Linked DNA regions of Neurospora crassa OR74A. The protein of the gene in region 4 purifies or fractionates together with the protein of the main gene of each other region. This does not show direct contact. Links are inferred from orthologs where the notes say so. Each region holds a gene or a part of one and is shown on either strand. Other genes may lie near its edges. The genes, in order: NCU00105, NCU00794, NCU05235, NCU03066, NCU03669, NCU01203 and NCU09528.

Region 1 (3,146 bases), on a different chromosome or scaffold from region 4:
CCCTCGCCCGTCCGCGACCGCTACTTCTGGATCCTGCACGGCCTGCGTCCGCATGGCACTTTGTACATCGACCAGGGCGCGTACAAGGCTCTCCTCGGCAAAGCTGGGCTGCTTCCCGTCGGCGTAGTGGACGTCGAGGGTTTCTTTGCTCAGCAAGAGGCTGTGCGCCTGTGCGTCGTTGACAAGCGCCGGTCTACGCCCGGTCCGGATGGCAAGATGTGGGAGGGTGAAGCGGTCGAGGTGGGCCGGTGCCTGACCAACTACGCGAGCGCCGAGATTGCAAGGATTAAGGGACATCAGAGCGTGGAGATTGGGCAGCTGTTGGGGTATGCGGATAGCGAGTATGTGGCGCAGAGGGAGAGTGTGAGCTTTTACAATACGGTGAGTAGGCCGGCTAGTCCTGTTGGGGGACATCGGGCTTGAAGGTATGGCTTGGTAGAAAAAGTGCGATTATACAAAAACATGGACGGGGTTCGTACCTTGAAATTACGTGTTGAAAACGACGTAAACAGATACAATTTGAGTGTTGCGTAAGTCGGGATCTGGACGAACAATGGCTTCCACAGGTATAAAAACAACGAGGTCGAGAGGATCCCATCACACTTCCTAATAAAGGATGTAGGTATGTCTCGGTCCTGCCCCATTGCTCGACGAGAAAAAAGATCAAATTATATCTGCCCAGATAAAAATGCTGGAGGTATCTGATTCTGACCAAAAGTGTATGTGTGTGTTGTAAACGCCAGGACGCCTTTATGGTACTTCCCTAAAGCAAAAAAAAAGTTCATATGACCTTCTCTTTTCCAAGCCTTCGTTAATTCCTTCCCTCTTTCTTACTCGGACCGACACTTTAACCAGCAAAGAGGGTGTCCTCATCACGGAGGTACTCGCCGCAGTCCGATTGACGGAAGCAAACGATACCCGTGGGATCAAGGCGGCGTGCCTCGGTTGTGCTACGAGCTGTGACACCGAAGCCAAGGGGGATATCAGCCATGCTGTAGACGACGACACCGGAGTGCTCGGGGCAGTCCTCGGACCAACGGCCGACGTGGGCCTTGACGACTGTTTTCAAATGCCCGTTAGTTTTCATGAGGCTAGTAGGACAGAGAACCAGGAGATGGAGAGGTATACCGTTCGAGCCGTAGAGGAAGGGCTGGGCACCGTTGTCCTTGACCCAGATCTTATGACGGGCGTGCTCCGAGAGGATAGGAACTATAAGGTTGGTAATCAGGTTGTTAGCTTTCACATACATTCCAACTGTTTCAGTAACCGCATAAGGATTCGGCATTGGACATGGAACGTACGGGCAGTGATGTGAAGTCTGAACTTTCCCGTCTTGGTCATCTTTCCAAGGCAGGTACCCAGGCTGAGGAGGGCATCGCGGCTGACACTGGTGGCGAGGTTGGCAACGGAGAGACGGACGTAGTAAACCTGTATATCATCATCTTTGTCAGTTTATCTGGCCCTTATTCTGGTTGGTGGTGGTGTGGTGGCTGTCATCGCCGTCGCAACGGCTGTCGTTGTCCTCGGTGGCGCACAGCCAAAAGGGAAGAGACGGTGTATCGAGCAAGGTCGAGAGGAAGCGAGGGAGGCGAGAGAGGCAGGACGTACGCGAGAGTGGTTCAGACGGAAAACGTATCTGTCGCCATCATCGAGAGGAGCGATAAGACTCTTGAGATCGGTGCAGTAGTTTGCAAGCTTTAGGGTGCCAAAGCAATCAGTCAGCTGTTGTTCATCCTTGTTTGAATATGACATTGTTTCGGCACTGAAACTGACCTTCTCGAAGACGGTCTTCTGCTCCGTTTCTGTAAGAGGGCGCATCTTGTCGGTGTGTTGTGAATTGATGGAGTTGGTGATGCAATGCGAGGGAATCTCCAAGCGCTGACAGCCGCAACCGATGGAGGTTCGCCCGCGTTTCTCTGCCAGAACTTTTTTTTATCGACAAGGAAACCCACTCTTCCGATAATGGGGAGACGCCAAGCCATCAATTCTCCGCTTTAGATGCAATGGCTGCAGTGGATACTCGTAGCTAAAATAGCCGAGTCCCACTTTTACCCGCTTCTACGTTTGCCGTGCGCGACCCCAGCGTGCCGCCCTAGCGACACTGTCACAGGCCGGCAACTGAAGTGACAACCTGAAGCGGATAATATGCCACATCCATGAAGTTTATATTTCCAGAGGGAACTCCTGCATCGCGATGTTCATCCAAGTCCTGGTGTGATGGAAGAAACAAACCCCAGTCGAGGCCAATGATCTCCAGCTGTATCCAGCGGGCTACTCTCTTTCAGGATTCGGTCCTCATCTACACGATTGTTTTCCTGCGCGGCGAGCCTGGCTGACTTCTCAATCGTCCTGGTAGCCCAGATTGCTGGCAGGGTTAACCGTGCAAGTTAGCTTTCCAGAGATTGTAATGCATATCGGAGTGATATCGCAGCAAAGAAGCTCGCTGTTCAACTGACAAAAGCGTAACTAGAAGGCCACTTGACGTTGGAAGTGGCAGCTTGTGGTTCTGGTCGTGAATGGGTCGAGCCATGGCCTTGCACCCATCAAAGAGGGATTATAAGTCAACTTCTACTGACACAAAAAGAAGCCAAACTAGTATCAAGCATCGAGTTGATCGATTGCCATTCAGACTCCTCAACCAGTGTCTCCGTTCCTGTCCGAGGTTCTCAAGTGGGGAGGTGTTGATGACTACATAGTGGCAAACGAGACGTGGGAGTATTGTGGTATAGAATACCACCGAATGCACCGAATTCATCCATCTCGAAGGAATATGAAGTGTGACCAACCAAACTGGCTCACGTTGGGCGCGCTGGTTAGAGGAATCTCATGATACCCAACCCACCACGATGCGCAACATTACGTATTCGACTATCTCGTCGTAGAAATCACGGATGCGCAAGGAGCTTCCCTTACGCGGTAATCGCCGAAGACCTTACTGCGCCTTCTTGGCCAGACCTGTAGATGGGAAAAGGTATGTATGGTGAGAGAGAGATGCTGGAGTGTGAGGATACCGACATTGTGGTTCGTCCAACTGGGAGAGAACGTCCCTTGTTGTTCATCTGCGCAAACGAAGACAAAGAACAACGGTGAAGGATTATAGTGGAAGGAGAAGACGGAAGTGAAAAGAAGCATTGCAGTAACGTCCA
Region 2 (4,096 bases), about 2.7 Mb from region 4:
TCGATGCAATCGTCGCCCGGGATGCCAATGCAACTACAGGCATCTCTGAAGCCTTCATCGGTCTAGTGCTCATCCCCATTGTAGGCAATGCAGCTGAACACATCACATCTGTGAGCGTGGCACTCAAGAACAAGATGGACTTGGCACTGGGCGTGGCACTGGGCAGCAGTATCCAGATTGCGCTGTTTGTGACGCCGGTAGTGGTTATCTTGGGCTGGATCATGGATCGAGACATGTCTCTCTACTTTACCCTCTTCGAGACTGTCTGCATGTTCGTTAGCACCTTCATTGTGAATTTTCTCGTTAGAGATGGGAGGAGTAACTACCTCGAGGGAGCACTTTTGGCATCTGCCTACCTCATTATCGCCGTGGCAGCGTTTTACTTGCCAAATCCAAGGTTGGCTAGCTCTGTTGGGTAAGGGTGAAGACAGAATTTAGGATGGGAGGTCGGAGTGTGTAGGCTACCTAGGTTCGGATGACAGATGAACGGTTATGGTTGAGGCCCAGACCGAAGGAGTAGTTTGTCTTGACTAAGGAGGTTTAGGCTTTTGCCAACAGCCATATCAGTAATTGTCGTAGCAGAGGCCGCATCAGATGCAGTATCAAAGCTAGTACCAGAGCCAGTGCCAGCCGTGACCGTACCCGACTTGGGACCAGCAGCAGCCGCAATACTTTGCAAGTGGCATTGGGAAAGCGAAAACCCGGGCAGCCTGGAATATCGGGACTGCCGGTCAATGAGAAGCGAGGGGAATGAGAAGTTTGGTCAATAAGTAGAGATAGTTGACGAGTATCCTGGTGAAGGGAATCCAGGGTATAGCGATTCCTCTGGACGTGGGCGATATTTGAGGGTCTGGGTCACCTAGACAAAGGGAGAGAAATGAATTTTTGTGCCTTGTGTAGTAGTATAGAGAAACAAAAAGGCGTCATGTCGGAACATGAATCCCCTCCGGAGGAGTCAAGAACAGCCGGGCGATGCTCATGCTGGGTTCATACATAGATGGGAGATCACGTAGGGTATACAGTATAACAGCTGTTGGGAAGCAGTGGTGACGACAAGTGGGAGTTGACTCGGAGTGTTGGAATGTTTGGAGATGGGATGATGATGACATGGGATGATGCCCGATGGTTCAAGTGGAAGGTTTGGATGCAGACGCACTAACAGCGCTAAATCGTAAACAGCCCTGGCCCAGCTTCGTGATGCCCCTGTGGAGACATGGGGAAAGCAAGTGTGGGTCAGAGCTCCATTGGAACTGGACATGCCAAGCCAGTTTTGCACGCCATCACCGCCAAAATTTTGGACTGTCCGCATTCTGCTGGGTCCAGCCTTTGCAGGGGCAGCAAGTCCAGTGCAAACCCAGAAGGCCCCCAATCCATCAACACTTCCTGGAAGTCGGGCGAGTATCGCAACACACTTTCAGCGACAACTTCTGGCACAACATAATCCAAGATGGCGACAGTACTACCACCCCCGTCGAAGCGCCAAAAGAGAGAGGAGATTGAGCGCACCACAACACAGCTCGATGTCGCCCCGATACTGGCGCCTGAGCTCGGCTCCTTCAAGGCCAACTTCGTCGACAGCGATGGCAACCAGATGACCGATGTCATCGAAATCAACTTTGCCGATGCCACCGAAAAGAACATCTCCGTCTTGCTCAACACCCTGCTCGAGAGGGACCGCGAAGAGTTCACCCCATACCGATTCCGCATCCATATTCCCGGCAAGGATATCATTGTCGACCAGTACCCTTCCGACCTCCTCGGCCTTCTCAAGCAGCATGGTGTCGAGAACCCCTTCGAGTATGCAAGACCCGGACACAGGAAGCCCAGCACGTAACTGCTTCGCTAACCTCCGCATAGAACCACAATTACTCTTAGTGCCGAGCCCCAGGCTGTTTTCAGGGTACAAGCAGTTTCGCGCCTTGCCCATCGCATTCCCGGTCACGGCCAACCCATCCTCGCAGCCCAGTTCTCGCCTATTTCATCCGGACGCCTTGCTACCGGCAGCGGCGACAACACAGCTCGTATTTGGGATACAAATACAGGTACCCCGAAGCACACATTGAAAGGGCACACCGGCTGGGTCCTCGGCGTCAGCTGGAGACCCGATGGAGAGCAACTAGCGACCTGCAGCATGGATGGCACAGTGAGGATATGGGATCCCGAGGCCGGCAAGCCCGTTGGTCAGCCTTTCAAGGGCCACGCCAAATGGGTGTTGATGACGGCGTGGCAGCCGTACCACTTGTGGAGAGACGGCACCCCTAGGATTGCCAGTGCTAGCAAGGATGGTACCTGTAGGATTTGGGTTGTCAACACAGGCCGTACCGAGCACGTCCTGAGCGGTCACAGGAGCTCCGTCGCCTGCGTGCGATGGGGTGGAACCGACCTCATCTACACGGGTTCGCACGATAAGGTTGTCCGGGTATTCGACGCCGTCAAGGGCACCTTGGTACACAGCTTGACATCTCACGCCCACTGGATCAACCATATTGGTTTGTCCAGCGACCACGCCCTGAGGACCGCCTACTTTGACCACACCAAGGACGTCCCTTCCACCGAGGAGGGCAGGAGGGAGAAGGCCAAGGAGCGTTTCGAGAGAGCGGCCAAGATCAATGGCAAGGTTGCTGAGCGCATCGTATCTGCCAGTGACGACTTTACCATGTACCTGTGGGACCCCACCAACAACGGTACCAAGCCCGTTGCTAGACTTTTGGGACACCAGAACAAGGTGAACCAGGTCCAATTCTCTCCCGATGGCACTTTGATCGCCTCGGTTGGTTGGGATAACAGCGTGAAGCTCTGGAATGCCAGGGATGGCAAGTTCCTCAAGAGCTTGAGGGGTCATGTTGCACCCGTGAGTTCCTTACCCACATTCATCTCTTACCACGAGGGGAAAGTTCTAACGCGTTGATACTTCAGGTCTACCAATGCTCCTGGTCCGCCGATAGCAGGCTTCTGATTACGGCTAGCAAAGATACTACCCTCAAGGCATGGAATGTGCGCACTGGCACTCTCGCCATGGACCTTCCCGGACACGAAGACGAGGTATGTGAACCAAATCACGGCGACATCGGTGTTCCCACTGCTGGAAAATTCTAACTCGCTTCCAGGTATACGCTGTGGACTGGTCGCCGGATGGCAAGATGGTAGGATCAGGCGGAAAGGATAAGGCCGTGAGGACATGGAGAAACTAAAGAAGAGGGCAAGAACGAACCTTACTCTCCTACAGCCAGCAGTCGGAACCCGAGAGCCCCCGCTCTACTTCACTCGCGGAGGCCTCAGCGGGGTGATATGACTTCTGGCCTGCTTCCGTGGTGTTTGCAGCAGTTTGCCGTTCGCACGAACGAGCCGGCTTGGGATACTACATGCCCAGGTATCTGCCAGAAACAACTTTCACGGCAATCTTCGCGAGCCAAGTTTCCTTGACGTCAGCCTAGCTACTAGTATCGGCTCACCAAAGAGGCCTTGCTGAGTCAATACGCAACACGGCTGCACACATCACCTCGACTCGCAGGGTGGTGATGTTGTGTGGCTGTTAAGTGCTTACCGACTGCGCCTCTGCCAAACTTTCCGAATCGCTGGGCAAGAGCGAAAGAGGCGATGGAATGGGCCTGGCAAATCGGTAAAATCTCCCGCCGCCAGTTCAATGTTACCAAACCGCGCGACCACACACCAAGACCAACAAGACGCTCGAAAGATTTGGAAAATGGAAAGCACCATAGATAGACAGAGACGTGGTCATGTTAAGCGATGTCCGGGGGTATCCATTTGAGGTTTGATAGATGCGAGCATTTGATGGAATGGTTCTCATTGCGCGCATCATGCAGGGCGTTACATAGGTGCCACGATATAGACAAGGATAGTGATATGCATTCATGGCAACCTAGAGAGACGTTGTTTAATCATGACGTTTGGAGCTAGTGAACCAGCCGTTGATGTTCAGAGTTACGAATATGTAACTTTCGAAGACGGCATATGATTCACTTTCCCGAAGCAACAGACCAGAGGTAGCAAGAACCACGCACACTGCAAGCCTTTTTTTTTCTTTTTTCTGAAGCATCCTTCGAAGGCCCGGACGGGAGCTGCCACTGGTCCTATG
Region 3 (3,500 bases), on a different chromosome or scaffold from region 4:
ACAGCAATGGGGATGATGATCATGTTGACGATGTTAACGAGGTTAACGATATAATGGGGTAAATATATGATGAGAGAATGAGATGGAACTTGATGATGATGATGATGGGGGGTGGGGGGAGGGAAATAGAGGTGGGTGGGCTAGACAACCTGACAAATGGGGAAGCAAACTATAATGAGAAACTTGGCTGTGCTTTGTGCTTACGGTTTGGCTGGCTGGCTAAAGCAAGGCGATCGGAGCATTAGCATGCGAAGGAAGGGGTTGGTTTGGTTTTGTCGGGTCTTAACGCTTATAATAATACAAATGATAAAAGATATAATACTTTGTATTTAGTTACCGACTTGAACCAACTGTGTCTTTTAGGTGTTGTTTAGAGTTGTTGTGTTGTCGACTGAGTGCAAGATGGAATCAACGAACGGGTAGTAGTCCAAGATTGACCTTGGATATATCCTTGGCTAGGATACCTAGTCAGGTCTCGAGCTACAGAGGTCAGTCACGTTGGCAGAAGACAGAAACGAGTAACTTGTCGAGTCAGAAAGTACTGAGGATTACTACTATAAAACAAGACAAGACATGGCAGAAAGAAAAAAACAAACAAGTACTTCATATTGTGGGTCTCCCCGTGTCTATTAAACGCCAAATTCGCCGATTCCAATAAAACCGAAAATATGCTTTGCTACTAAAGGTAGACTGATTGATCCCCCCCTTGAAAACCATGGTTCTGAATATAATGAATCTTTCCAATGACCTGTAGCGACCAACGACCAACCAACCAAGCAAGGGGTATAAGCAAGCCCCGAAAGCAGCCATCGCTCGGGGGGGAGGATTGTCTGTCTGTCCAAAGCCACAGTTACTGTTTTTACAGTTAGAGTATTGGCTGTTGGTCAACCAATTGCTGTCTGTCCTGTCCTCTTTCTGGTCGTTCCGTCTTTATACACCAAGACCCGTTCGTCGTAGTTGGGCTTTGTTGCTGGTGTCAACTAGGCAGGTCTCAGTGGCGAGGAAAGGCCGCCGAAAAAATACAGCAGAACCCTCCCCCGCATAGGGATATCGACAGCCGCGGGAGCGAGTTCGTCCGAAGAAAACAAGCAAACAACGAATGATCCCGAGAAAAGAGGTGGCTGGTTTCGGTGTTGGTGATGGTGGTGGTGGTGGTTGGCGGTGGTGGTGGTCGCGGTAGTAATAGTTACAGAGACTCGGGCGCTCAGTCGGTATCCATCTCGTCGTCATCGTCCACGTCCTCGAAATCGTTCTCGTCATCGTCATCCTCATCGACCAAGCCTCCACCAGCGACGCGCTCCGAGATCTCTTCCACGCCGCCGTCTGTCCTGACACGGAGCCTCTTGACCTCGCCGCCAAACGCCTTGGTCTTCTTGCTGGCAGCCTTCTTGGCCAGCTCCTCGCGCTCGAGCTCCTCGACGTCCTGGCCCGTCTCCTGGGCGAGCTCGGCCAGCCTCCTCTTCTCGGAACCGCGCAGGCGGGGGAGGAGGTGCTCGTTCTCGGCGACGAGCTTGCGGGCGGCGGCGACCTCGCGGGCGCGCTTGCCGGCCATGCGGCGCTTGTAGAAGATGCGCTCGCGGCGCTGGCGGATCTCCGAGATACGCTCCATGGCCTTGACCGTCTTGGCGAAGAGCTCGCGGTCGTAGCGGACGGGCACGTTGCGGCGGGCGGCGAACTGCAGGGTGCTGTCGACCACCATCTCCTTGCCGGCGTTCTTGCGGTAGGCCTTGGTCCACTTGAGCTTGCGGGGGTTGCGCTTCATCTTGAAGTTCTTGTGGCATTTGGAGCGGCAGAAGCGGAAGGACTTGCCTGTAACATTAGTTGTACCCTGGTTAGCAATTGGCCTTGACGGAGAGGTTGATGATGGGGAACTGAAGTATGACAAAAACATACCATCGTTACGCATAAAGGTAATGCCCTTGGAGGGCCAGGCCGGACGGCCGCAAAAGAAACAGGGATCGACACGCATCTTGACGGGTTATGTGGGTGGTTGTGGTGGTGGTGGTGGTGGTGGTGGTTGAGGAGAGAAGCAGCGAGCCGGGTGAGGATGGGCTCGTTGTCTGTTCGGGAGGGGGGGGAGGAGAGGGGGAAGCAAGCAACAAAGTCAACAACAGCGAAACGGTCAAGGGCGCCGCTTCTGAAAATTTCTGGATGTCGGTGTTGGAAAAGTAAAGTGGGGCGGAGGGGACGCTTGGCTTATCTTAGCGCTATCGTGCTATCAGCCGACAAGACTCGGGTTAGGGTTGAGCGTGCATATACGCCAGCCCAGACGGTTCTTTTCTCTTGATTTGACAATGATGGTTCCCGATGATCGATTCCTCGATGTAAGTTGGCCGGCAATTGCGGCTGCTTACTTTCGATGCTCTCTCGACAAGCGATGGCCATGATGCTCAAGTCGACGGGCATGTTTACTTTTCCCAAATCAGTATATTCCCCGATCCATCCAACAATACTTCTTGAGCTCACGATCTTTTCGCTTCGCGACAATGTTCAGTCACCAAGATGGCATTGGTTTCTGTTAACAGGACTCTCGCGGACCCTAACATTGCTAGCTCCACTCTCTTTCTTTCCCATCAGTTACTGCTAACGATTAAAGTCTGACACCCTCTACAATGTTCAACACCGGGTATCATCGGTGTTCGTGACTGCAATTTTTACCATGTCTGAAGAATCTATTCGAGTTACAACTGAAGGCGTCAAGTTCTTCTCGGAGACTGTGGCGAAATCGGATCTTGAATTGTCTGTCATTTCTCACAATGATCAAGACCTTCTGTGATGGAAACTCCGTCGGCAGTAGGCCAGTGTCTGTTGAAGGTGACTACTTAGGCTTTACACAAAAAGAGGTCTTCCTTGACACTTGGTTGATATAACGCATCTCCGTCTCTCAGATTGAACTTGAAGTGCAATGGACTTTCCTCACTCCTTCCCCAATCACAGTGCTCCTTTCATCTCACTCACAGCGGAGTTGAGGGTCGGGTGCTGACCGAGAGCCCCATCAGATCCACAGCGCTAACTCAAAGATGCGGGGACGGAATCCGGGGAAAGCGTCAAAAGTGGAGTCGGGTTCCCCTGAGGCTCCACCAGACTAGCTCCTGCCCTGCGACAGTAAGGGTCCCGAGATCGTTCTTTCCTGATACAAACCGTACACTAAGTATAGGAAAGTCAAGATGTCGCTATCTCTTTCCAGTTTCTTGTCGGTAATTATCCCATGCGGTTCACCGTAATCTTCCTTCTCAAACTTGGTATCTACTGAAATGTACAAAGGATCAAAATTACAAACCCAACACCTACTGCTTCCTCCCCCAGCCACAGCACACGCGCACCGGACCACTCCTCGCTCCGTGGTGCCATTAGACATCACAGAATCAGACGACGGAACTCACAGACGGGCCGCTGTGATACAAAAGTGACGTCCAGCCACTCGAGATGATTGGATTTTGGATATTGCCTGCCACTCCTACCCCGCTCAATCCTGGGTTACACCATGCCTCAGCCAGACG
Region 4 (4,108 bases):
TATCGGGACGTGGGTAGCCAGCCACCTTCGTCGCTCGCAAACATGGTGGAGGTAGTCCGCTCCTTTGAGAGACTGATGGGAGAAGGACAGCAATATACGCATAGCGGAAATCTGGAAATGGCGATGCGTAACTTCAACAGTGCGCTTGCTTTTTGCGAATCAGGGGCTGCTTCCGGTGCCATTCTGAGCGGTGACCGTTACAAACAGTTGGCTTTTACCAAACTCGGTGGTACACACAGACGCCTTGGCAAGTATGAGCAGGCAAAAGACCTGCTCGAGCAAGCAATGGCCATGTCGGCATCAAGTGAGCTGCGCATCGAAGCCAGTGGCGAGCTTGGTGTTATCTATCAGCACATGGACCTGATGGATGATGCAAAGCGTGTGCTTCGGGTTCAGTATGAAACAGCAAAGGAGTTTTAGGCGGAGCACTTCGCGTGCCGGTCGATCGGAAACCTCGATACGGTCAACTAGCAACTGTCCCAGCAGCGTTAGGATGAGTCGTTGTTGTAATTAGCGATAAATTAGCTCCTTGAACGCGTTGAAAGGGCCCATCAGATCAAGGATACAATTGACTCGCAAGTCCTGGATGCATTTACAAGAGAACAGCGATTGAAGGGTGCGATAACTTGGGAAACAATCGGTCTCTTCCGTCTTTCTCTACGCTAAATGGGGGATACCTACGGAAGAGTTTCTGAAGATACTCCCTCATGTGAAGCGTGATAAGCGTGGTTTCTGGGTGATATGTTACCTCCCCACCACAACCCCCTTTCTTGATGCGTATTCGATGCTAGCATGCTATTTTGCTTCAGGACTTTGTCTACGTAGGCCAAGATGACCCAATGTCCGGAGTGTCTGCTCTGCCGATAATCATTGCATAGTGCAATGCCATTGTCAGCTTAAGCGACGATCAATTATGCGAGCGGGGCACGGTGTTCTGTTGAATCCATGATGATCCAAAAACTCAAAAAAAGCGTACAGCGTCCATGTGTGGTATAAACAAGTGCTTGACGACAGAACTGATGGCATCCAGAACTGCACCTTGACGGACGGTTCGATGGATTTGAGGATCGTCATGGCAGACAAGTGTTTGATTGTTGAGACGGACCGACCTAAAGTCCTCTTTCTGGAAAGGCAATGCAAACCACTTGCGTAAAGAGTCGGTAGCAATAATTCTTCATATACATATAGAGAACAAGCGCAACCACACCATAAGTGTATCAATATAATTTACATTCCACGTTTGGCTAAACACAAATCAAACATACAATACGACTGTAAATTACAGGCACGCGCATCTCCACATTCGAAGCGGGGACTTCTGGAATCTTGGTGGAGTTCAACACGGCGGATCCCTGCTTTATCAGAGCTTATCTAGGCGGTCAGCAGTGGCACAAACCGTTCCTCCACTCTAATTTTTTGACGACCATCAATCAGTACAGCCGCCCATAGTAGCGACCGGATTTTGCTGCTTTACCTTGCTGTCCCATCCTCAATTATCCTCCTGTACCTCCTTTTTTGACATTAGGAGCAGCATATCTTCAAAATGGCCGGATCGATAACAAAGCCCAAAAGTCAGTCAATCTTTCGCTGAGAACAACATATTCTTCCAATCAACACATTGACTGACGTTACTTAAAAACAGAGCCGAAATCGAAGCGTACACCCGTACGCCTCAGGCACAAGATCCAGAAGGCCTCGGCCGCGAAGCAACGCAAGGACAGAAAGCTCGCCAAGAAGAACCCAGAATGGCGCTCCAAGCTCAAGAAGGACCCGGGTATCCCGAACCTTTTCCCCTACAAGGAGAAGCTGTTGAACCAGATCGAGGAGGACCGCATTCGGAGAAAGGAACAGGAGCAGAAGCGTCGTGAGATGGCCAAGGCGGCCAAGACTGGCCAGGACACCAAGACGGGCGCCGAGGGCGATGTCGAGGCGTTCGATGACGATCTGATGGACGACGACGATGCTATGGAGGAGGATGGTAGCGACGTTGACGATGAGTCGAACCCCCTCGCTGCCCTGGTGGCCAGCGCCAGGAAAGCTGCCGAGCAGTACGACCGCGAGCTCCAGAGCGGCGACGAGATGGACGATGACGACGAGTCCGACGACGAGACCGATGGCGAACCCACACAGTCCGGCGTTATTGAGGTTCCCGGCGGCGCCTCCTCGCGCAAGGCTTTCGACAAGGTCTTCAAGCAGGTTGTTGAGCAGGCTGATGTCATTCTTTACGTCCTCGACGCCCGTGATCCCGAAGGCACCCGCTCGAGGGACGTCGAGCGCGCCGTCATGGCCGCCGCCCACGGTGGTAAGCGCCTGATCCTCATCCTCAACAAGGTCGATCTGATCCCTCCCCCGGTCCTCCGCGGCTGGCTCACCCACCTGCGCCGCTACTTCCCCACGCTGCCGCTGCGTGCCTCCAACCCTGCCCCCAACGCCCACACCTTCCAGCACCGCGACATTACCGTCCAAAGCACCAGCGCGGCTCTCTTCCGTGCGCTCAAGTCGTACGCCGTCTCGCGCAACCTCAAGCGCTCCATCCAGGTTGGCGTAATCGGCTACCCTAACGTCGGCAAGTCGTCCGTCATCAACGCCCTCCTGTCCCGCCTCAGCAACAGCCGCGGCCAGCACAACGCCTGCCCGGCCGGCGCCGAGGCCGGCGTCACCACCTCGATCCGCCAGGTCAAGATCGACAGCAAGCTGACGCTGCTCGACTCGCCCGGTATCGTGTTCCCTTCCACTGCCGGCAACTCGACCTTCACCCCCAAGAACCAGACCGAGGCGCACGCCCACCTGGTGCTCCTTAATGCCATCCCGCCCAAGCAGATCGAGGACCCGGTCCCCGCCGTGACGCTGCTGCTCAAGCGCCTGTCGGCCACCCCCGAGTTGATGGACAAGATGATGAAGGTGTACGACCTTCCCCCCTTGCTGCGCGACCCCAACAACGGCGACCCCACCATGGACTTCCTTGTCCAGGTTGCCCGCAAGCGCGGCAGGCTGGGCAGGGGCGGTATCCCCAATATCCAAGCCGCTGCCATGACTGTCGTGACCGACTGGCGCGACGGTCGTATCCAGGGCTGGATCGATGCTCCCGTCTTGGCTGTGGCTGGTACCGCCACTGCTCCTGCTCCTGCTGGCGGCAAGTCTGCTACCGCTGATGAGCCCCTAGCGGATCAGAAGGTGATCGTGACCGAGTGGGCCAAGGAGTTCAAGCTGGATGGTCTTTGGGGAGATGAGGAGGAGACGGCGACTCCGGATGTTGAGATGCAGTAGAGCGATTTATTCCCCCTATCTTTGTCTGTTGGCAGTTGTTGTTGAGCATTTCACTTTTTGGTTTCTTTTTTGTTTTCGGTTGCGTCGGTGGTCAATGTCGTAATGAGTATTTTGTTGTTTTGCATGTCAGAAACACAATACAACGAACCCCGGAGCTGGACACATCTTTGTGAAGAGGCGTTTTGGCGTCAAGGTGGGAAAGAGCAAAAAGGGAGACAGGCAGGCCGGCTGGTAGAAAATAGGTCAAATATAGCCTGATCATAAACACCTCTATGACAAAGGCTTTTGAAGTGAAGCTTTAAATTCTTTCTGACATTCCCTGCATCGTTCATCATACCGAGCTGTGTTTTCAATGGCCTATTATCGAATTCGAAAGCAACGACATTCCGAAAATGACTTCATGAACGTTTGGATAGCCGAAAGTAAAAAAACAATGTATTGCTCTACAAAAGTCCATCAAGGGTATTCTTAACCTGTACCCCTTCTCAAATACTGAAGCATCCATCTTCAACAAATCTAATAAGTACTAACAAGCTCCATCTTCACCCCCCTCTTCCCCGTCGTCTCATCCTTCTGATCCGTCACCCTCACCCTGACCTTCTGGAACAACTCCACCTTAACCTCCCTGCTTCCCGATGTGGTCAGCGTGTACGTCTCGGCATCATACGTCGCCGCCGGCTCCGGCTCCGCCAGGTCACGCAGACGGATCAAGCTCTCGATACCGAACTTCGGCACGAGCACAACAAAGCCATTGCTAAAGATCTTCATGACGAAGCCGTCCTCCTCCGTAGCCTTGCCGCGCAGGGCCTGGCCGACATAATAAGCAATGCTGGCACGGCCG
Region 5 (4,258 bases), on a different chromosome or scaffold from region 4:
GGGTAGGTGGGATACGTGCGATGCCTCAGCCCTCTTGGGTGTTGAAGCATGAGTGATCTTTCGACGCTTGGAGCTTCTCTGGCCATCCTGAAGGCTCGGTAACACATCTGGGATTTCCTCTTCCGAGATGGGCCTGAGAGGACTGGATGGAGTATGAGATCGTTCTATGAGAGGACCGGCTAGATCACGAAGAGCTCTTTGGGAAGCGCTGGGGTGGTTATTCGCTATGACTCGGGGAGTAAAGAAGCGCCTGAATTTCCGGGGGGTGATGGACGGGTTTCGACGTTCCTTGGCTGCGCTTCGCGGAGGAGGAGAGGACGGAATGGGGGGAATGTTGTTGCTGGTGTTCAACGACGACGAGCTCTTAACTCCCAAAGGGGTTGAAGTGCTGTTGGAGTTATCGGCCATGGCGAAAGGATTCTCTTCGACTACCAGAGCGAAGAGCTGGGTCCAGGCCGCTTATGCAACACGATACCTAGAGACGATGTACACGGGGCCGGCGACGCTGGATGCGCGCGACCTGGCAGCGAGGGGCCGCCGATGGCAAGGGTACGCGGAGACAGAGAACAGGCTGTGGTGATGGATATTTGTACAGAATCAGTTGAGCAACAGCTGGCGCAGAGGTATTGCTGGCAAGTGTCGACTGGATATTGGACAAGGGCTGACGTCGAAGTTGCAGGCTAGGCTGTGTGCAGCAAGCAGGCTGAGCTTGAAGAAGGACGGGAGGTCGAGGTCGTCGTTGAGAGACAAGGTAGGCGGCCGGGGGGGGCGTAAGGTATTGGCGCCGAGTTTATTGGTTGGCGGATTTGGTCGTAGTAGTATGGGTCCTCTGAGTGAAGTGGTGCGGCCGGAAGGGGTATGTCTATGTCGGTTTCTGGTGTAAGTGTGTCCTTGGTAGTATGGACTTGAAATTGAATGCGTAGGTGGAGATGTGATGGAATTGGATTTGGTTGTTCGTTTCTGTTGTGGATTTCCCTTGCGTGGTTCAGTTCCTAGAAGTACCTACGCTTTTGCTGAGTTCCCACTTGAGTACCTAGGTTTGCCGGGCAACCAAATCGACAGCCATGGAAACCTGACCTGACCTGGCCTGACCACCCATGGACTCCATTGAACACCTCCTCCAGTGGGCAGAGGCTGGGCGTGCGGTCCGTAGCGGCCGGGGGTCGGGGGGGAGGCGCCTAGAAGGAATGCGGTTTAGTGCTCCATCAGGGGAACGCGAAGACGCGGGAACAAATGACGCGCTGCATCGCGAAAGCTTAATGGCTTTTTCGTCCCATAAATCGCGGTTGCTGAAGACATGAAGATTGGTCAATGCACTGCACTTCAACCGCGGGATGTCTGGCCCACCCTGATGGGGCCCGTCTTGCTCGTTGCCCCACCAGCCGCCGGAGTCCAGTCTCTTATCGCTTATCGCCCTGCAGCTGTCATCCAAAAAAATCATTCTGCAACGACGACCCTGCAATCCCTGCGCTGCGAGTGCTGGAGGGAAGAACAGTCAAAGGGCACCCGGACTGCCATTTTCACCAACCCAAAAAAGTCACCAGGTCGTCCTGCTCAACAACACCAGTCGGAAACACCCCCCGACTTAGAGCACCGGCACCATGGCGATCCAAAAGAAACACGGCAAGGGCCGTCTTGACAAGTGGTACAAGCTTGCCAAGGAGAAGGGTTATCGTGCCCGTGCCGCCTTCAAGCTGATCCAGCTCAACAAGAAGTATGGATTCCTCGAGAAAAGCAAGGTCGCTCTCGATCTTTGCGCTGCGCCCGGTGTAAGTCATAGTCGTGAACATCCAGTTTATCATGGAGTGAACTAACCATGTCTGTGTCCGTCCCTAGTCGTGGTGTCAAGTCTGCGCCGAGACTATGCCGACAAACTCCATCATCATCGGTGTCGATCTTGCTCCCATCAAGCCCATCCCCAAGGTCATTACCTTCCAGAGCGATATCACCACCGAAAAGTGTCGCGCAACCATCCGCTCCCATCTCAAGACATGGAAGGCCGACGTCGTTCTTCACGATGGTGCGCCCAACGTCGGTACTGCTTGGGTCCAGGATTCGTACAACCAGGCCGAACTTGCCCTGCACTCGCTAAAGCTGGCCACCGAGTTCCTTATTGAGGGCGGTACGTTCGTCACCAAGGTGTTCAGATCCAAGGACTACAACTCCCTTCTCTGGGTTTGCAACCAGCTTTTCGCCAAGGTCGAGGCTACGAAGCCCCCTTCGTCCCGTAACGTCTCCGCCGAAATCTTCGTCGTCTGCCGCGGCTTCAAGGCCCCCAAGCGCATTGACCCCAAGCTTCTCGACCCCCGCTCCGTTTTCGAGGATGTGGCCGGCCCCGCCCCCAACAACGAAGCCAAGGTGTACAACCCCGAAGTCAAGAAGAGAAAGAGAGAGGGTTATGAGGAGGGAGACTACACCCAGTTCAAGGAGATCTCTGCCAGCGAGTTCATCAACACTGTCGATCCCATCGCCATTCTCGGCCAGTACAACAAACTCAGCTTTGAGCAACCCAAGAACGGCGATGTAGCATTGGCTGCCCTCGACAAGCTCCCCGAAACGACCGAAGAAATCCGTCTCTGCTGCGCCGATCTCAAAGTGCTCGGCAGGAAAGAGTTCAAGCTTCTCTTAAAATGGCGTCTAAAAGTACGGGAGATCTTCGGCTTCCCCTCCAAGAAGACCCAGAAGGCAGCTGTGGACGAGGAGGTTGCGGTAGTGGAGAACATGGATGAGGAGCTTAGGATCCAGGAGGAGCTGCAAAGGATCAAGGAGAAGGAGACCTCCAAGAAGAAGCGCGAGAGGAGGCGCGAGAATGAGAAGAAGCAAAAGGAGATTGTCCGCATGCAGATGAACATGACTGCGCCCATGGATATTGGTGTGGAGCAGGAAGGTCCCCGTGGTGAGGGTGCCATGTTCCGTCTCAAGACTATCGACCAGAACGCTGCCCTGAATAAGATCGCCAAGGGCAAGATGGCCGTTATCAAAGAGACCGAGAAACCGAAGGATTACGACTTTGGCTCCGACGGCGAAACCGACGAGAGCGACGAGGAGGCCGATCGTCTGGAGGAAGAGCTCGACAACCTGTACGATCAGTACCGGGAGCGGAAGGCGGCGGCCGATGCCAAGTACCGTGCCAAGAAGGCCAGGAAAGAGAACGGCGACGATGAATGGGAAGGCGTATCTGGCGATGAGGAGAAGGGTAGCGACGACGATGACGATGAGGAACTAGAAGTGGACAGCAGTGATGATGATTCCGACTCAGAGGATGGTGAATCTGGCAAGAAACTTATAACAGATCTAGACGGCCAGCCAGAAGAGAAGGATGGTCTGTCCAAGCGGGCCAAGAACTTCTTCAGTCAAGGTATCTTTGCGGAGATACCAGGACTTTTGGAGGAGCCAGAATCTGAGGAGGAGGAGGCTCAGGAGGCTGAGCTTGTTGAGGCTGTGGAGGACCTCAAGGTTACCAAGAAGGAGAAGAAGGAAGCCAAGGAAACCAAGGCCAAGAGCAAGAAGGCGGCCGAGGAGAGCGATGACGACGACGATTTCGAGGTTGTCAAGAACAACGAGGATGACGACTGGGAGAACGTTGAGAAGAAGAAGAAGAACGGCAGGCCTGGTAAGTTTCACTCAGTCCCTCTTCAGTATGACCTGTTAAGGGCAATGGCTGACTATGACAACTACAGACATCGACATCATCACCGCCGAGGCCATGACCCTCGCCCACCAGCTCGCGACCGGCGAGAAGACAAGTTACGACGTCATCGACGACGGTTACACCAAGCACGCCTTCAAGGACCGCGACGGTCTTCCCGACTGGTTCCTTGACGACGAGTCCAAGCACGACAAGCCGCACAAGCCCATCACCAAGGCCGCAGCGCAGGCCATTAAGGAGAAGCTCCGGGCCTACAACGCCCGTCCTATCAAGAAGGTGGCCGAGGCCAAGGCCAGGAAGAAGTTCAAGCAGGCCCAGAGGCTGGAGAAGCTCAAGAAGAAGGCCGATATGCTTGCCGGTGACGATGGCATGTCAGAAAAGGAAAAGGCTGCTAGCATTTCGAAGCTCATGGCGTCGGTTGCTAAGAAGACGAGGAGGGCGCCTATCAAGGTTGTCAAGGCTGCTGGTTCCAACAAGGGTCTCCAGGGCAGACCTAAAGGAGGTTCGTACTATCACTACCTTAAGATCTGGTGTGTTCTTTATGTTGGAATGATGCTAACTCGGTTTTTTCAATTTTATAGTCAAGGGCAGGTACAAGATGGTGGATCC
Region 6 (2,740 bases), on a different chromosome or scaffold from region 4:
ATGGCGCGCAACAAGGCACTCAGAACGAGACGCTGACACGGAGACTTCAACTTCTTGAAGAGGAGGCCGAGGAGGCTGACAAGACTCTCCGCGAGACCAACGAGAAGTACGTTTGCATCGAAATACACGCACCCCTGGACGATGAGATGGGGGAGGGTCCTAACCCCTGTGCCCTTGAACCCCTTTTCTTTGCGACACCTTAGACTAACATGATGTTTTCCTCCTTCAACAGGCTTCGCCAGACCGACGTCAAGGCCGGCCACTTCGAGCGCAAGGTTCAGGCCCTCGAGAACGAGCGCGACCAGTGGGAGTCCAAGTACGAAGAGATGGCCAAGAAGTACGCCGAGGTACAGAAGAGCTTGGAAGAGTTCCAGGCTGATATTGCCAACATCTAAGTTGGTTAACGGATGCAGTCGGAACATGGTGGAAATTCCTTTCTTTACGTTTGTTCACAGCGTCACCGCATCGATAATATCAGCCTGACCCTTTATGCCGTTTGTCCTCGGGTTGTCGAGTAGGGAGATAAGACGGACAAAGCAAGCCGTTATCTAACTCCCGCGTACAACTCATATTGCCTACTAGTTCAAAGCATAATCCATCATCCCAGCATTGCACATACAGTACTTAAACAAGATCTAGATATCGTAAGGGATACCGCTGTCAGGAATAGCGGTAGATTATTTCCTTCGCCATCTAACCTATCACGACCGCTTCGCTTTCTTTGCCCTCTGTTTCCTCTCTGTGACGTTTCGGTCATGTCGGCTTTCGTATGTGAATTTTCTCTTCTTCTTTTTCTCTGGGAAGTTTCGTTTTGATTTCTTGTCGGCTTCCTGCTGCGCCGCCTCTTCAGCCGCCTTCTTCTTCTTGTTGTTCTTCTCCGTCTCGGAATCTTCTTCGTCCTTCAAGGTCCGTGGTTTGTGGATGCCGTCCCTGTCTACGCTGACGGCTTCTACTGTCACGGTCGTATAGCGGTCTTCATCGATGTACTCCTCCTCGACATCAAGCGCAGGCTCTTCCGCCACATCGTCTTCGGATAGCCCATCCCATTCGTCGTCTGACTTGTTCTCGGTGGGTTTGTCGTCGGTACCGGCACGCTCTGCCTCGTGGAGAAGCTTGTGCACTGTTTGGATATGTTCCTCGAGGTTCTTCTGCCGCTCCTCTCTGATCTGTACCCGACGTAGATTAGACTTACTGCCATGGAACCAACCAAGAAAGACAGCGGTCATCCGGTACGTACCTGCTTTCTCAACCTAATTCGTTCCAGCCGTGCCTCTTCCTCTGCTTGCGCCTTCGCAGCCTTGATTCGGGCCTGTTTACGCTTGTGGAAACCGGTAAGATATTCGGTGCGGGCGTCCTTGTCGAATGTGATTTCCTCGACCTTGTGCACTATCTTGCGTTTCTTGGGTGGCGGCGCGAGCCCACTCTTTTTGGGCCTTGGGGCAACAAAGAACGCTGGATCCCTCTCCATAATGGCTTCGAGGGTTGACTTTGAGTGGAAAGTTCGTTTGGTGGTTTTGTGGAGAAAAGGGAACAAGAAATCGAGGTAGAGGTAAGGGCGGGAAGGATGTTTGGATGCAGCGATCTGGATGCTCTGGGTTCAACTGTAAATTTACTGATAGCCACCCCCCTGTTCAAATGTTCACTCGAACGGGGCACCATGCAGGAAGCGGCCTTATCGTATTCTGCCCTATTCTACCGCCTATCTCTGATGTCCATAGCCTGCCGGTCACACCCAGCACCCAATCCCATGCATCAGACGTCTGGCGCTCTCTCAGTGCAGTGACATCCACGCTCCCGGGCTCTGGATCCTGGAGCTACACCACGCTGCCAGTTTGTACACTACACCATATTCGCATATCCAACACAACAACCGACGACGACGACAATATCGCAGACAGTTTGGCATAATCTGTAAATCATGAAACTCTCGATAGTAACAACTCTGCTCGCCTCTACGGCAGTGCATGCCTTCTCGGACTCTTCACCATTTGTCCTCTTTTCCACCTCCAGGTACGTCATGTCCCAATTGTCGCCGTGGGTGGTGTCCCTTCAAGTTGCCCTCGCGCCATCACGATCTTGTGCACCACATCCCACTCAGTTGCGCTTTCATGCATGTGACTTCGACTGAAGATGCTGACCCTTGCGAAACCGTGATTTCCAGGCTCAATACACCCGAAAGATACGATCAGCTCCAAACCAGCAATCAAGTGATTGCTTCCGCCAAGGAGATCCTTTCCTCTTGTCCTACGAAAGACTACGTTATCGTCTCCCAGCCGAACGTGCACGCCGCCGACATCCGCGATGGCTCGCACTGTAAAATGCGCAGTCTATGCGACACAATCGCAAGCAAGGAAATCAAGGGCCGTTTCAGCGTTGCGGAGGTAGTCGGCGACCTCTCAACCCATTCGTTGGAGGATTATGTGAAGGAAGCCTGCGCTGCCAAGGGGAAGGTTGCCGGTATCGTCAAAGTTGACCTCACGCATCTACCTTCCTTGGAGCACAAGGATAATAGGGCGCAAATCCTGGCTTCTAATGGTATGTCTAGTTCGGATCACGGGTCGGCTATTGAATTGCCCCGTACTAACCTGTGCAACTATAGACGATCAGTTGGGCCTGGTGCTCGATACCCTTGAGGGCGACTATACCCTTGTCATGGTATCAGACCCTAACGAGTTCAAGGCTTACCAGCCTGACTTTATCGAACCAGTCCATATGGATCTCAAGCGCGGACAGTTTAGCT
Region 7 (3,342 bases), on a different chromosome or scaffold from region 4:
TAAACCTCATGGCTAACGAAGTCTACGCCTAGACTTAACAGGAAGGTGACTATCCCAAGCATGGCCCCCCTCATCAAGTTCTGAATATCTCCATGTTGCATTGAGGTTGGATGGGGTTGAAGAAGGAGGGGGAGGTGGGTAAGATGTTGAGTTCTGCTGCGAACTATGGGCTGGGCGTTTGAAGAGAGAGGAGTTGGGGAAGAAAAAGCAAGACCTCGGTCGCTGTCTAGGTACTTGTATAGGCAAACGTCTAGAACACCATGAAAGACAATTGGCTGGCCACTACAGTACACCTATGTATGTCGAACGGCTTCCCATTCTGCGCAGTGTTCTTCCGGGCTCTGATGGGCATTGGCCGGCATGTAGCAGGGTGATGATGACCGAGGCACTTGAAATGAACATGTCAACAGTTAGGTCGCATACTACCGAATGTCTTTGGAAGTACAAGGCTGACATTTGAAGGCGGGTTGGATTTGAATAAAAAAGAAATGAAATTTCAGGCATGACCCGCGTGCCTGCGTCGAATGGATAGTGGCGGGGGCCATGGAGGGTGTTTTGGGGATGGGATGAGACGGGAATCAAGTTGCCCTACCGGAAAACTTGCAAAGTGCGTAGCTAGTTATTTAGCAATGATTACAAGTCTGTTCATATCTCCAATGGGTAATGATCATGGTGACAATGGTGAGGTGGTGACTGGCGCGGCCGCTGGCGCCTCACCAGTTGCGAGCAGAACAAGAAGCCGCGGCTATGATGGCCGTGAAAGTTAGGGTCCAATTCCGAGGAAATAGTCGTTAGGTAAGTTGCCATCATCACCCTTGGGAGAAGGATTGTTGATGAACGAACTGGTGACGGCAATAAAGGCAAGCAAGATACAAGAGGATTAGAAACGGAACCTGAGGAAGCGGTATTTATGTACGTGCTTACATACAATACACCACTTACACTACCTAGGTACACACTTACGCAGTAGGGACTGTATCTTTATTACGGCCCTCTTGCCAGCTGGCGACTGGACTGAGGGAACGTACCCAAGCTTGCCAAGTAACGAACAACCTGTAAGGTCGATAAGGGACAACAGCCCCACTATAATTCTCTTATCGGACAGGAGCCATTGCAGTTCCAGTTCAATCGAGTTCTCTGGGGTGGTTTCCCCCGAAATTTTGGTCAACTTCCGCCTTCGTTGTTGTTGTCGCCGTCATCGTTCTTTGCTGGTTTACTCCCATTTCGCCTTCTTCTTCCCAGCATCTTTTGGCAGTCGAACTCCTGTCCTTTCAGCAACACCACATAGTACCTACTTCCCGAAAACCACAGCAACAATGGGCAGAGAACTTCAGAAGCGCAAGAAGCGCTCGTCTCGCGCCAAGGTCCAGACGCATACCATCAAGAAGAAGGTCTTGAACCCCCAGGGCAGCGGCATCGTTGCCAAGGCCTGGTAAGTACCTTTCTCTTCTTTTTGTTGCCAGATATTCGAGAGGAGATTCAGTACTGACATGCAAAAATTGATGTACTACAGGAACAAGAAGGAGACCCTCTCACAAAACTACTCCCGCTTCGGTCTCGTCGCCAAGCTCGGCACCGCCGCCGGCGGCATGGCCAAGAAGTCCGCCGCCGCCAACTACGCCGGCATCACCAAGGATGATCCTTTGGCCGTCAAGTCGGCCGATCGCGGCCTGTTCGAGGTCCGCGAGGTCAAGGTCGAGCGTGACGCCTCGGGCAAGATCGTCAAGGTCCTGCGCTCGGACAACCCGCTCAACGACCCGCTCAACGAGATCGAGTCCGACTCCGAATCCGAGGAACCCAAGCCCAAGAACCCAACCCATGATATCGAATGGCACGGCATCAGCGACGACCGCCAGGAGATGATTGCCCAGAGCAGCCGGCCCGAGGTGGTCCGGATGCTCGAGGAGGAGGCGTCGCGCCCTGTGGAGAAGACGGTGCGCTACCAGAGCGAGCGCGAGCTAGAATGGCTGCAGCGACTAGTGGCTAAGCACGGCGACGATGTAGCTGCCATGGTGCGCGACATCAAGTTAAACCCGATGCAGCAGACCAAGGGCGACATTACCAAGCGGTTGAGGAAGGCTGGCTTGTTGCAGTAAAGAAGCGGACGAAGAAACGAGGGAGGGGAAGAAGGGGGCAAATTGCATGCGCGAGTGTGATGTGAACTTCATCATCACTGGAATGTGACTGCTTCTTGCAAGGGGATGTTCTTGGGATCACCGGTGAGCTCGGTTTGTGGTCTGAAGATAAGGGTAGAGATGAGGGAGCCTGGCGACAAATGCCCGGACCCATGTCCAGTCTCGTCCTGTAAGCTGGGCTACGAGAGTCGGCGGGAGGGAGAAAGAGCGACCCAACACGGCTGATCCTTCAGCCGAGATGGCTCTGCTCGACAGGTCTCGAAAGAAGAGAGCAACGGATTTTGTCTTTCTCTCTTTGTCTCTCTTTCTCTCTCAGACTGGTATAATGCCAGTTAGACTCTCCCCGCTGTCGCCTCATCATACTTCGCTTCAGGGGGCGACCCTCTCGTGGAATGGGGAACTGGCAAAGAAACAGGTGACGGAGCTACTTCGGCTCGCGCTCCCTTGCTCAACGGTAATGAGCAAAAGCAAAACGGATGATGGGACGGGAACCAGGATTTCTTGTGCAGCATACATACTATTCATTAAGGCCACGGGCGTTTTAGGCGTTTCTCAAAGTACATGAAAAGAATTAGGGCCATTGAGCCATCCACATATATCGTATCATATCTTGTTTGTCACCTAGAATCATGTTCTACGTAGATCTCCACAAATATGGGAGAGTTTAATAAGAATGACACAGATACAAAGCATTCCATGAAGCCGATATGAGAGCTTTGTGATTCATTGTTGATGCACGAAGATATCTCTCTCGTTTCTATGCATGATAAACCAACAAGGACCTGTGACGCCTCGCCAACGACACCCCATAAAACAAAGCCTACACACATACATACACAAGAAAAAGCCCAAAATGTTTCGTCTAGTGCCAGCCAGCCCCCAATAACAAAAAAAAAGAAAGCAGGTAGCCAAGACACTTTGTACATGACCTAAGCATGCTGCAGCGTATAGCTACCCGGTATTGCATCCGCTTCCAGATCCAAAGTCGATCAGTCCAGCTCATCCATATCCCTTGACTTGAATTCTCGACCCTTCTGTTTTTTTTAATCCCATTCTTACACATTCCCCCGTTCGATTCCTACTCGGCCGTAGGGCGCAGTGGGAAACCTTGCCGATGGCTCATCCTCGTAGTCCCCATCATGCACACTAGGCGGCGCGTACCTGCTGCCGCCGCCGACGGAGGATTGATAATCGTTATCGTTGTCAA

Evidence for each region.
Region 1: the proteins of NCU03066 (region 4) and NCU00105 purify together in Saccharomyces cerevisiae (affinity purification with mass spectrometry; 3 studies listed by BioGRID). This does not show direct contact. The link is inferred for Neurospora crassa OR74A from reciprocal best matches to the Saccharomyces cerevisiae genes NUG1 and NIP7.
Region 2: the proteins of NCU03066 (region 4) and NCU00794 purify together in Saccharomyces cerevisiae (affinity purification with mass spectrometry; 8 studies listed by BioGRID, with this or other methods). This does not show direct contact. The link is inferred for Neurospora crassa OR74A from reciprocal best matches to the Saccharomyces cerevisiae genes NUG1 and RSA4.
Region 3: the proteins of NCU03066 (region 4) and NCU05235 purify together in Saccharomyces cerevisiae (affinity purification with mass spectrometry; 4 studies listed by BioGRID). This does not show direct contact. The link is inferred for Neurospora crassa OR74A from reciprocal best matches to the Saccharomyces cerevisiae genes NUG1 and RLP24.
Region 5: the proteins of NCU03066 (region 4) and NCU03669 purify together in Saccharomyces cerevisiae (affinity purification with mass spectrometry; 6 studies listed by BioGRID, with this or other methods). This does not show direct contact. The link is inferred for Neurospora crassa OR74A from reciprocal best matches to the Saccharomyces cerevisiae genes NUG1 and SPB1.
Region 6: the proteins of NCU03066 (region 4) and NCU01203 purify together in Saccharomyces cerevisiae (affinity purification with mass spectrometry; 4 studies listed by BioGRID). This does not show direct contact. The link is inferred for Neurospora crassa OR74A from reciprocal best matches to the Saccharomyces cerevisiae genes NUG1 and RRP17.
Region 7: the proteins of NCU03066 (region 4) and NCU09528 purify together in Saccharomyces cerevisiae (affinity purification with mass spectrometry; 3 studies listed by BioGRID). This does not show direct contact. The link is inferred for Neurospora crassa OR74A from reciprocal best matches to the Saccharomyces cerevisiae genes NUG1 and NOP16.

The regions. Positions count from the first base shown.
Region 1 is NC_026503.1:2,638,808-2,641,953, reverse strand, and holds NCU00105 (ribosome biogenesis protein NIP7), read right to left. Parts: upstream 1,920-3,146; 5' UTR 1,819-1,919; coding exon 1,774-1,818; intron 1,696-1,773; coding exon 1,609-1,695; intron 1,429-1,608; coding exon 1,302-1,428; intron 1,210-1,301; coding exon 1,129-1,209; intron 1,060-1,128; coding exon 848-1,059; 3' UTR 501-847; downstream 1-500. Other genes in the region: pro-4 (glutamate 5-kinase), read left to right, coding at 1-423. UniProt on the Saccharomyces cerevisiae protein: Required for proper 27S pre-rRNA processing and 60S ribosome subunit assembly.
Region 2 is NC_026501.1:7,141,925-7,146,020, forward strand, and holds NCU00794 (ribosome biogenesis protein Rsa4), read left to right. Parts: upstream 1-1,296; 5' UTR 1,297-1,447; coding exon 1,448-1,797; intron 1,798-1,857; coding exon 1,858-2,851; intron 2,852-2,916; coding exon 2,917-3,042; intron 3,043-3,107; coding exon 3,108-3,191; 3' UTR 3,192-3,894; downstream 3,895-4,096. Other genes in the region: NCU00795 (membrane bound cation transporter), read left to right, coding at 1-419. UniProt on the Saccharomyces cerevisiae protein: Involved in ribosome biogenesis. Required for processing and efficient intra-nuclear transport of pre-60S ribosomal subunits.
Region 3 is NC_026504.1:5,664,074-5,667,573, reverse strand, and holds NCU05235 (ribosome biogenesis protein RLP24), read right to left. Parts: upstream 2,120-3,500; 5' UTR 1,970-2,119; coding exon 1,894-1,969; intron 1,810-1,893; coding exon 1,205-1,809; 3' UTR 501-1,204; downstream 1-500. UniProt on the Saccharomyces cerevisiae protein: Involved in the biogenesis of the 60S ribosomal subunit. Ensures the docking of NOG1 to pre-60S ribosomal particles. Activates and recruits ATPase AFG2 to cytoplasmic pre-60S ribosomal particles.
Region 4 is NC_026501.1:4,414,055-4,418,162, reverse strand, and holds NCU03066 (GTP-binding protein), read left to right. Parts: upstream 1-1,438; 5' UTR 1,439-1,543; coding exon 1,544-1,571; intron 1,572-1,642; coding exon 1,643-3,267; 3' UTR 3,268-3,608; downstream 3,609-4,108. Other genes in the region: NCU03067 (hypothetical protein), read left to right, coding at 1-420; NCU03065 (mitotic control protein dis3), read right to left, coding at 3,784-4,108. UniProt on the Saccharomyces cerevisiae protein: GTPase required for 60S ribosomal subunit export to the cytoplasm.
Region 5 is NC_026505.1:2,021,227-2,025,484, forward strand, and holds the start of NCU03669 (AdoMet-dependent rRNA methyltransferase spb1), read left to right. Parts: upstream 1-1,458; 5' UTR 1,459-1,601; coding exon 1,602-1,769; intron 1,770-1,836; coding exon 1,837-3,613; intron 3,614-3,680; coding exon 3,681-4,151; intron 4,152-4,230; coding exon 4,231-4,258. Other genes in the region: NCU03668 (WD domain-containing protein), read right to left, coding at 1-408. UniProt on the Saccharomyces cerevisiae protein: Required for proper assembly of pre-ribosomal particles during the biogenesis of the 60S ribosomal subunit. Specifically methylates the guanosine in position 2922 of the 25S rRNA at the stage of 27S pre-rRNA maturation.
Region 6 is NC_026505.1:3,224,221-3,226,960, reverse strand, and holds NCU01203 (hypothetical protein), read right to left. Parts: upstream 1,589-2,740; 5' UTR 1,469-1,588; coding exon 1,238-1,468; intron 1,167-1,237; coding exon 702-1,166; 3' UTR 501-701; downstream 1-500. Other genes in the region: tpm (tropomyosin), read left to right, coding at 1-106, 233-395; NCU01202 (hypothetical protein), read left to right, coding at 1,919-2,010, 2,162-2,535, 2,600-2,740. UniProt on the Saccharomyces cerevisiae protein: Essential protein involved in ribosomal RNA processing.
Region 7 is NC_026505.1:4,474,525-4,477,866, reverse strand, and holds NCU09528 (nucleolar protein 16), read left to right. Parts: upstream 1-1,147; 5' UTR 1,148-1,316; coding exon 1,317-1,432; intron 1,433-1,513; coding exon 1,514-2,096; 3' UTR 2,097-2,842; downstream 2,843-3,342. Other genes in the region: NCU09527 (hypothetical protein), read right to left, coding at 3,191-3,342. UniProt on the Saccharomyces cerevisiae protein: Involved in the biogenesis of the 60S ribosomal subunit.